Linked DNA regions of Caenorhabditis elegans. The protein of the gene in region 2 interacts with the protein of the main gene of each other region in a pairwise test. Each region holds a gene or a part of one and is shown on either strand. Other genes may lie near its edges. The genes, in order: nefr-1 and snb-1.

The links.
Region 1: the proteins of snb-1 (region 2) and nefr-1 interact in a protein complementation assay, tested with the Caenorhabditis elegans proteins (one study listed by BioGRID).

The regions. Positions count from the first base shown.
Region 1 is NC_003279.8:3,437,329-3,442,281, forward strand, and holds the start of nefr-1 (Protein kinase domain-containing protein), read left to right. Parts: upstream 1-1,770; 5' UTR 1,771-1,779; coding exon 1,780-1,851; intron 1,852-1,910; coding exon 1,911-2,016; intron 2,017-2,035; exon of another isoform or gene 2,036-2,108; coding exon of another isoform or gene 2,109-2,182; intron 2,183-2,285; coding exon of another isoform or gene 2,286-2,366; intron 2,367-2,417; coding exon of another isoform or gene 2,418-2,805; intron 2,806-2,856; coding exon of another isoform or gene 2,857-2,946; intron 2,947-3,217; coding exon of another isoform or gene 3,218-3,704; intron 3,705-4,522; coding exon of another isoform or gene 4,523-4,749; intron 4,750-4,800; coding exon of another isoform or gene 4,801-4,860; exon of another isoform or gene 4,861-4,894; intron 4,895-4,953. Other genes in the region: Separin homolog sep-1, read right to left, coding at 1-194, 252-411, 462-1,205; Y47G6A.13 (non-specific serine/threonine protein kinase), read right to left, coding at 2,109-2,182, 2,286-2,366, 2,418-2,805, 2,857-2,946, 3,218-3,704, 4,523-4,749, 4,801-4,860.
Region 2 is NC_003283.11:6,654,924-6,658,422, forward strand, and holds snb-1 (Synaptobrevin-1), read right to left. Parts: upstream 1,579-3,499; 5' UTR 1,549-1,578; coding exon 1,432-1,548; intron 1,299-1,431; coding exon 1,086-1,298; 3' UTR 639-1,085; downstream 1-638. Other genes in the region: syx-18 (t-SNARE coiled-coil homology domain-containing protein), read right to left, coding at 1-166, 423-525. UniProt on the Caenorhabditis elegans protein: Involved in the targeting and/or fusion of transport vesicles to their target membrane. Acts in neuronal exocytosis of synaptic transmission. Likely to have a role in cholinergic transmisson.

The DNA.
Region 1 (4,953 bases), on a different chromosome or scaffold from region 2:
TTCGATGATACTCGAATAGTAGGCTAATGTGTTGGTTGTCTGAAGAACTCGAAAGAATGAAGCCGATTTTAATGCGACACGAAGATTCAGAATCATTGCCGACATCGAATCACGAGTTTGGGCGGTGGTGACGTTGACGAGAGCACACTCCCGACGCATCTCAAAGTGCCAAGCGATTGTACTGCCAATGTGCACTGAAAATGTAGAAATTGTGTTTGAAATTATATATTTTTTTTTTCAACAATTTATACCATAATAATTGCTATCTTCTTGATGCCCGTCTAGAAATGGCCAAATTGATGCATTAACCGAGTTGTCGAATTGAGAGCTGGCGAGGCCAGGAATTCGATTACGCACAAGTGAATCACTTTTTAATGCTGCTTCTTGAATATGGGACACACGATCCGGGAACTGAAATAATTATAAAATATATTTTAGAACACAAAACCATCGCTTCATACCTCACACTCCCTGAGTGCGGATCCAACGGGAACATTGCTCAACGTTGAGCACAACCAAGAGACATAAGAAGCCAACTCGTATCTCGAAAATGAGCGAGTAGGATCCGATTTGACTTTATCGCGAAGCTTCATCAGCTTTTCGAGCATTTCCACGCGATACTCTGACTTTTTCAGGTAGTTCATCGCGAATTCGGTAGCCGAGAACATGTCTTTCGAGCTTTTATCCATTTTCCACGTCTTCAGCTTCTTCTCAATTAGCTCGGTCTCGCCGAGAAACATCAACCATCGAAGAGCAGCTTCCTTGGCCAGAGTGTCGTCTGATAGGTCGATGTAGTCGAGCAGGCACACGACTGCTCTGCACAGTTCTCCGTTGTAAAAGTAGAAAAAGCAGAGTTTCGCGGGAATACTCGCGAAAATCTCTCGATCTTTGCTCCGACACTCCATCGCCTCCTTTCGTAGAGTTTGCCACGTGATGAACATTTTGCATGCGGTTCGTTGATACTTCGCAAGTCCTTGAAAGTATTCGGACGAGGCGTAGTATGAGGTGATTCGAGCCAATTTGCTCAGCGAGTTCATGTCAATCGGTCCATTGACGCCGAATTCGGCGATAAAAAGCTCGGAAATCTCCTGTTGCAACTCGGCAGTTTGTTCGGCAAACCCGATCACCGTGCAGCTCACATTTTTGCGTAGCTCATCTAGTTTTTCGATGTGCTGCTTGTCAACTGACTTGTTTGTGATCTTCATGAAAGTTTATCTAGAAAAATTAAAATTAAACTGTTTTAATGGAATTAACATTATTACATACATAAAAAGCAAGTTTTTTGATTGATTTTCATTAAAAATCGAGGAAAAATTGAAAATGAAAGGGTTTCAACGCACGTTATCTTCTAAAAAATTTAAAAAATTTTCTTCTAGATGATACGCTTCACATACGCGACGCGTAACATTGGAGCAACGTTGTCACTTTTTCTTAAAAATCTCTTATAAGAGTTGGCACGGTGCCAGATCCGGAATTCCACCAGATCTTGAATTAAAATAAGTTTTTTTGCAAGTTTTAGCAAGTTGAAGCAAGTTTTTTTATTGATTTTCACCGGAAATCGAGGAAAATTGAAAATGAAACGATTTTCGAGGCAAAAATAAAAAATTTCCCTCCGATTTTGAAGTCCGTGAATGCGCGTGCGGTGCAACTGCGTACAAAACACCAAACTTTACGACAGTGCGGTAAATTCTACTTTTCAAAGTTTGAGCCCCAAAATTCGTTTAATTTTTGTTTAAAACTTTTCTTGTTTATTGAATTATTTACATTTTTTCAGTCGACATGCCGCGTATCAAGCAAGCGCCGACAAAGAGACACTCGTTTAAGCGAATGGAATCGAGAGAAGCCGACGAGGTTCTTAATAACGATCCAAAAAATGAATTTAGAAAAAAAAACCAACAACTTTTTTCCAGAGTTTTCTCGACGAGGAAGAAATCGAACGAATAAAGGAGGAACTTCAACGAGTGCAAAACGAGAAAAAGAAGCACATTCAGAGAATGCAAGCTCGACTCGAACAAAGTAGGCATTTTCCTGAATTTTTTCCCCTCACAAAAAACATTTATTGTCATTAAAGTAGTGAGAATTCTTCGGGAGAATGATTTCAAGTCGCATCAGAAGGGAATTTTGACTTCGGTGAAGTTTCGAGGAGCAATTGCCGGATATACGACGAATTGAAGCTCGTCTCCTGTAAAATAGAGATTTTTGATTGAACAGACTCAAAATGTGCTCAAATTAACAAATTTCGTTCATTTTAGCCCATTTCGAGGTTATAAACATGAAATTCTCACTTGGCAACGCCTTCTTCGAGTTGTATTCCATTTGATCGCATTCAATGGCAGTTTCCATGTCGATTGAATCTCCCGTAACAGCTGAAAAGCAAGTATAAATGTCAATTTCTGTCGGGAAAAAAATCCACTCACAATTTCCCGCTTTCGCCGGAGTCCCATACTGCGAGTTTTCGTTAACCTCCGAACGACTGCTAGCCATATCTTTTGCACTGATCAACTTGTTGCCCTTATCCACATTCAACGTATCCTGCTGCTGTTCACCGGAACTGTTATCCTTCACCTTCTTCTGCTCATCAACCTCTCCAGCAACTTCCGACTCGGCTTTCGCTGACTTTGCTGGAATCGCAGTTTTCATCGAATCGGCAGACAACTCATTCTCCTTATTTTCCTTTTCCTTTTTCTCCTTCTCTTCCTTCTCTTTTTCCTCTTTCTCAGCTTTTGCCATTCTTTCCATCTCGTCGTCTTCCCATTCATATGGATCCAGAAAGTTGATCTTCAGTCTGGTGATAGCCGCCATCAGCTGAAAAATTTCTTAATTGTTAATCGGATTCTATTTCGAGAAAAACGCTACCAGATTATAAATCTTCTCATAGTTCGGGCGATCTGCGTAGCTCAGAGTTCTCAGGTACTCGAAGATTGATTTGAGCTCGTCGGGGAGATCCTGTAAATGTGCAAAATGTTCAAAATGCCGAAAAATGCATTTTCTTGTGAGTACCATTTTTGATGGTTCATTCCGGGTTTCACGTCTCATTTTGCTTTGATCTACGAAAAATGCGGGAGAAGAGACGCAGACATCTCAACTGATTTCGCAGGGTTGCTGACGTCACATTTTTCTGGGAACAATTCCCGCATTTTTTGTAGATCAAAGAGACTTTCTGACACCATGTGGCGTTTCGGAAATTCGAATTTCCCCTGTTTTCAAAAATCCACACCTCAAACAGTGCAAGGTCCTTTGTCGACTTCTTCATTGACATAATTTCCTTTTCATCCTTCAAATTCGACCAGGGAAGCCCGAGAGTCAGATACACGATGCTGTAGATCATTGCCACGAGATCATCACATCGTCCTTGCTCCTTCCGCTCGTGGACATTCATCGAACAATATCGAATCGTTCCTCTCAACGGAATGCGTCTTCTCATCGGGCGAAGCTTCTTCTTGCCATCGTCACCAGCCATCACAAATGTCCGAGCCATCCCGAAATCGATGAGTAACATGACTCGAGCATCTCTTCCCTTGTTGGCCGCGGTCATTATGTTCCCCGGCTTGACGTCTCGATGCACATATCCAGCTTCATGTAGTTGCTTCAAGCCGTACAACGTGAACACTGCGACACGCATGGCCGTGGCGTCGTTGAAGCCTCGCTGAATCTTCATGCGAAGTGCCATCAAATCCTTTCCGCAGAGGGTGGTCACCATGTATCTAGAAAATTCGAGTTTTCGCACAATTCTACGCTTCCTCACTGCAACTTTTTCCCCACGAGGGACGAGGAAATGCGGTTTCTAGGCCATCACGTGGTGCCAGACTGTCTCAATACAGTTTGATCTATGAAAAATGCGGGAATTTTTCCCAGAAAAAAGTGTGACGTCAGAACGCTCTAAACCATGCGGAATCAGATGAGATCTCTGCGTCTCACCTCCCGCATTTTTTGGAGATCAAAGCAAAATAGGACTTTCTGACTACACGTGGGCCGAGGATCCGACAAGATTTAGTGGCAAGCTATCTTACTTTGTTTTCCGCGTGACTTTTTTTGTTTTTCACAGATTTTTCCCGTTTTTTCTTTCATATTGAAACTGATAAATAAATATTTTTGCAAGTGCGAAAGCAATTTAAAAGTGAATACACAATTTTTCACTTGGAAATTGTTTTAGCATCTGCAAAAAAATTTATTTATCAGTTTCAATATGAAAAAACGGGGAAAAATCTGTGAAAAACAAAAAAAGTCACGCGGAAAACAAAGTAAGATAGCTTGCCACTAAATCTTGTCGGATCCTCGGCCCACGTGTAGTCAGAAAGTCCTATTTTGCTTTGATCTCCAAAAAATGCGGGAGGTGAGACTCAGAGATCTCATCTGATTCCGCATGGTTTAGAGCGTTCTGACATCACAATTTTTCTGGGAAACAATTCCCGCATTTTTTGAAGATCAAACTGTATTAAGACAGTCTGGCACCACGTGATGATGGCCTAGAAACCGCATTCCTCGTCCCTCGTTCAAAGAAAAGTGCTGTGCTCCTGCTAACCTGTAAAGCTTCCTCTTCCCATAGTCGATAAGCTTCAGGACATCTCGTGAATCCGTCAACTTGCTCAGCACATTCACCTCGAGTTGCAGTGTTCGATCGAATTCTTCCGAGTCGTACTCGACCTTCATCGCTGCACAATACCCTTTACGGTTCTTGTCCTCCACCTTGTACACGACACCGCACGCACCTTTGCCCAAAAGTGCTTTAATTCTCCATTTGTCGATTATCTGAATAGAAATGGAATGATTTTTGCAATTGAATTGGATAATATAACTTACATGTCCTGGACGCATAACTTTAGATGCCGACGACGATGTAGACTTATCACTATTAGTCATATTGATTTGAATCACCGAAAGTAAAACTTTGAAACTTAGGAATAACTGATTTTTGAATTTATTCAGCCTTTTATACACTTTCTTTTTTTATTT
Region 2 (3,499 bases):
TCCATCGGGCTCATTTTAGAATAGGCACGACTGGCGAAAATGTAGTCCTGTGAGTGATCTGCGAGCATTTTACGGAAGAGATACATTTCAGCGCCAAACGAAAGAGCCACGTTCGAAATGTTGGTGAATGCTGGAGATGGACGATTTTCATCACGACGGTAGTCTCCTGAAATTTGAAATTATTCATTTTTGGAATGTTTTTAGAACTATAAAAATTAGAATTAAATCATCAAAATAATTTCGCTTCAAAGTTTTATGGCAAAAACGAGTTTATCTGAAAAGTTTGTTAAAGGATATTCCATAAAAAATCTTAAATGGTATTTTTGCAGAATTTTTTTTCTGATTTGTTGATGTGTCAAAAAACTTGAAGTATCCGATATTTAACGTTTTTTATTAAATATTCTATCCAAATTCTTCCTCACCCGGTGGCTTATTGTGCCGTCTAATGTGCTTTTGCTCGATTGATGTGGCAAGTTCTTTGAACTGTTGTGATCGATCGATAAATGGAGGTTGAAATATCGTCATTCTGAAAAGACCAGGCCCACTAAATTTAAACAACAATTGTTTTTTTTTCAAGTATCTAAATCTGAATATCTACACAACAATCATTCAATCCATTCAAAAATTTTGACAGTTTTGAGTTTTCAACACCATTTTATTCGCATCTAATGGGTAAATTTCCGGGGGGAATGAGAAGGCATGTTGTTAGTCTGAGAATAGGAAAATTCTAGAAAAACATACACACACGAGCTCGACGGAATCCGCGGATAAGCTCATGTGGATGTGGGATCACGCAGCTTATCGCGCCGCCTAAATAAATTAATTTCAGAAATGGATGATTTGCGATCAACCAGAAAAAGAATATTAAGAAAATTGACAGATTGGATGGGGATGTGGGGGGAAACGTATAATTCAACTATAGTACAATGAAGAGAAGAAGTTCAAAATAAGAATAGAATACTCAGCTTCTATGTTTTAGAAAATGAAAACAGATGAAAATGGGCAAAATGTGAAGGGAAGAAGTTTGGGGGAAAGAAATTACAGCGTTTCGGGGGATTTTTTTATCCGGGACAAAGGTCGTGTACTTATTTTCCTCCAGCCCATAAAACGATGATGATAATAAGAATGACGACGATAGCGCACATGATGATCATCATTTTGATGTTCTTCCACCAATACTTGCGCTTCAGGGTGGCCGCAGATTTCTCAAATTGTGAAGCACCTTCCTGGAGAGCGTCAGCTCGGTCGTCCAGTTGAGACAACTTCTGATCACGCTCCAAAACTTTTTCCACGTTCACCTGAAAACTATTTTTCGTGATTTTATTGCAAAAAGGGGAATTAAGATTAATTTAACACGCTTATAAATTGTAAATGGGATCATTTCAAAAATTGCGATTTTTGTTATTTTAATTGCACATTTCAAAATCTTACCTTCATGATTCCGACGACTTCATCAACCTGAGCTTGTGTCTGCTGGAGACGTTTGTTGGATGGTCGTGGTCCGCCCTGACTTCCTCCCTGTGCGCCGGCATCTCCTTGAGCGTCCATGTCGTCAAGATGGTCTTATCCGGCTGTTCCCTGAAATGAAGCGAGTTAGAAAAATTTAAAAATTCGTATCGGAATTCAGAACTGGAAAGTGAGGTAAAGGAAGAAAACGACAGGGGGGACGGCGACGCCCATTTATGCATGAAAAATTGAGCACGACAAGCGACACGATGACGGACTAAAGTGCCCTCTCAAAAACGAGAACGACTAGAAAATTTAGCTATTTTTGTATAACGGGATTACGAATATTTAACGAAATTATAAAATCGCGATGTTCTGAAATTAGGAAAATAGTAAGGAACGATGAGAACAGGGAAAAGGATGAAAAAATAAGAAATGGGGTCAGATGACGAAGCGATGAATGGAAATTCAATGAGAGATGTTGCGAAATCTGTGCAAACACCGATAAAACATTTTGCGTACTGGGCATTATGACCTACGCGCATCTCTATTTCGGGATAATCGATAATCGGTCATGACCGTCATCCATTCACTTTCAATCATCGATTAATAAATAAATTGAAATGATAAATAGAAAAAAAATGACGGGACGGTTTTCAAAAAACTGGTTTTCACTGCTGTTGTATGATTACGTTTTTACCAAGAGGCAGTCAAAAAATAAAAAAAAAAGCGAGTGGAGGTTATAACTTGTATTAAATAGAAGACAACACATACAGTGGGACGCATTCCAGACAAATAACGAAGCCACTTTTTATTGCTTTGCAGCCAGAATTGTGGGAGGCGAAACTAATAATGGGAGACGAAGAATAAGGCGAAGAAAGGAGAATGTCCCATGCACACGCTCCAGTTCTCTTTCGTTTTTTTTTCTTATTTTCTCTAGCCGCATGATTTTGCTCGATTTCACACAAATGGAGCTAAATTCTTTTGCAGACAAAACGAAACGAGAGAACTGAATACAAGGAAGTTTTCAGCAGGTTACGTGCAACGGGTGGACTACGAATTTGAAGCCCGAGGCATATCTTCGAGAGATGAGAGGAAGTTTCAAAATGAATAAAAATTCAACTTGAATTTTCCTAGAAAGGGAGAAAAAATGAAATACTTGAACACACGTCATGGTTGCTGAGATACCCGAACTGAACAATAAATTTGTCAAAAAAATGTGGCAGCGATTCATCATTCTGTGTTGTTGGAGAATGCAAGAATAACTATGGGCAACAATGTCGGAAAAACCAAGATAAAGTTACGAAATTCAGAAAAAAAAACAATATTAAAAAAGTGCTGACTCAGTCCATCATATCAGCTGACAACAAAAAAGACACAGACAGAAAACAGAACAGGGAAGATTGGGGGATGGCTAGATAGGAAATTGAATGTCTGTTGTATTGTGTACAGACAAAAACACAATTAGGGAGGTAGTATTTACCGAGAATAGTTTTGAAAAAAATAAGTAAACGAAGCGATTATACTAAACTCAAACACAGGAATACAGGTTTATTGGGATTAGGGCTGTACAACCGGACGTCCGGTCGTCCGAACCGGACGCACATGCGTCCGGTTGGGGGTAGCTATCCACGACGGCCGACAATTTCCGAGTTTCGCGACTCACTATAAAATTGCTGATTAAGTATAGTGAGTGGCGAAACTCGGAAATTGTCGGCCGCCGTGGAAACCTACCCCAAAACCGGACGCAGTGCGTCCGGTGGTGTCAAAATCAGACGGCCGGACGCTGATTTGTACAGCCCTAATTGGGATAATTGCGCGTAGAACCTAACGGATTCTACATATAGTTGATTTGGTATCTTACAATCGAGAGTAATTCCGAAAAATTTTCAAAAACTAATTTGAACAAAATTCAAAAACGTTATAGTGTTTCATGTTTGCGTATCGCTAAATTTCGAAACCCGTACCATGCCGAGAACCTAAGTACAGTAGTTCTCCTTTCAAATACGGTACTTTCGTGGTGAGATATCGGGTGGAAGTCTGAGGGTCTGAT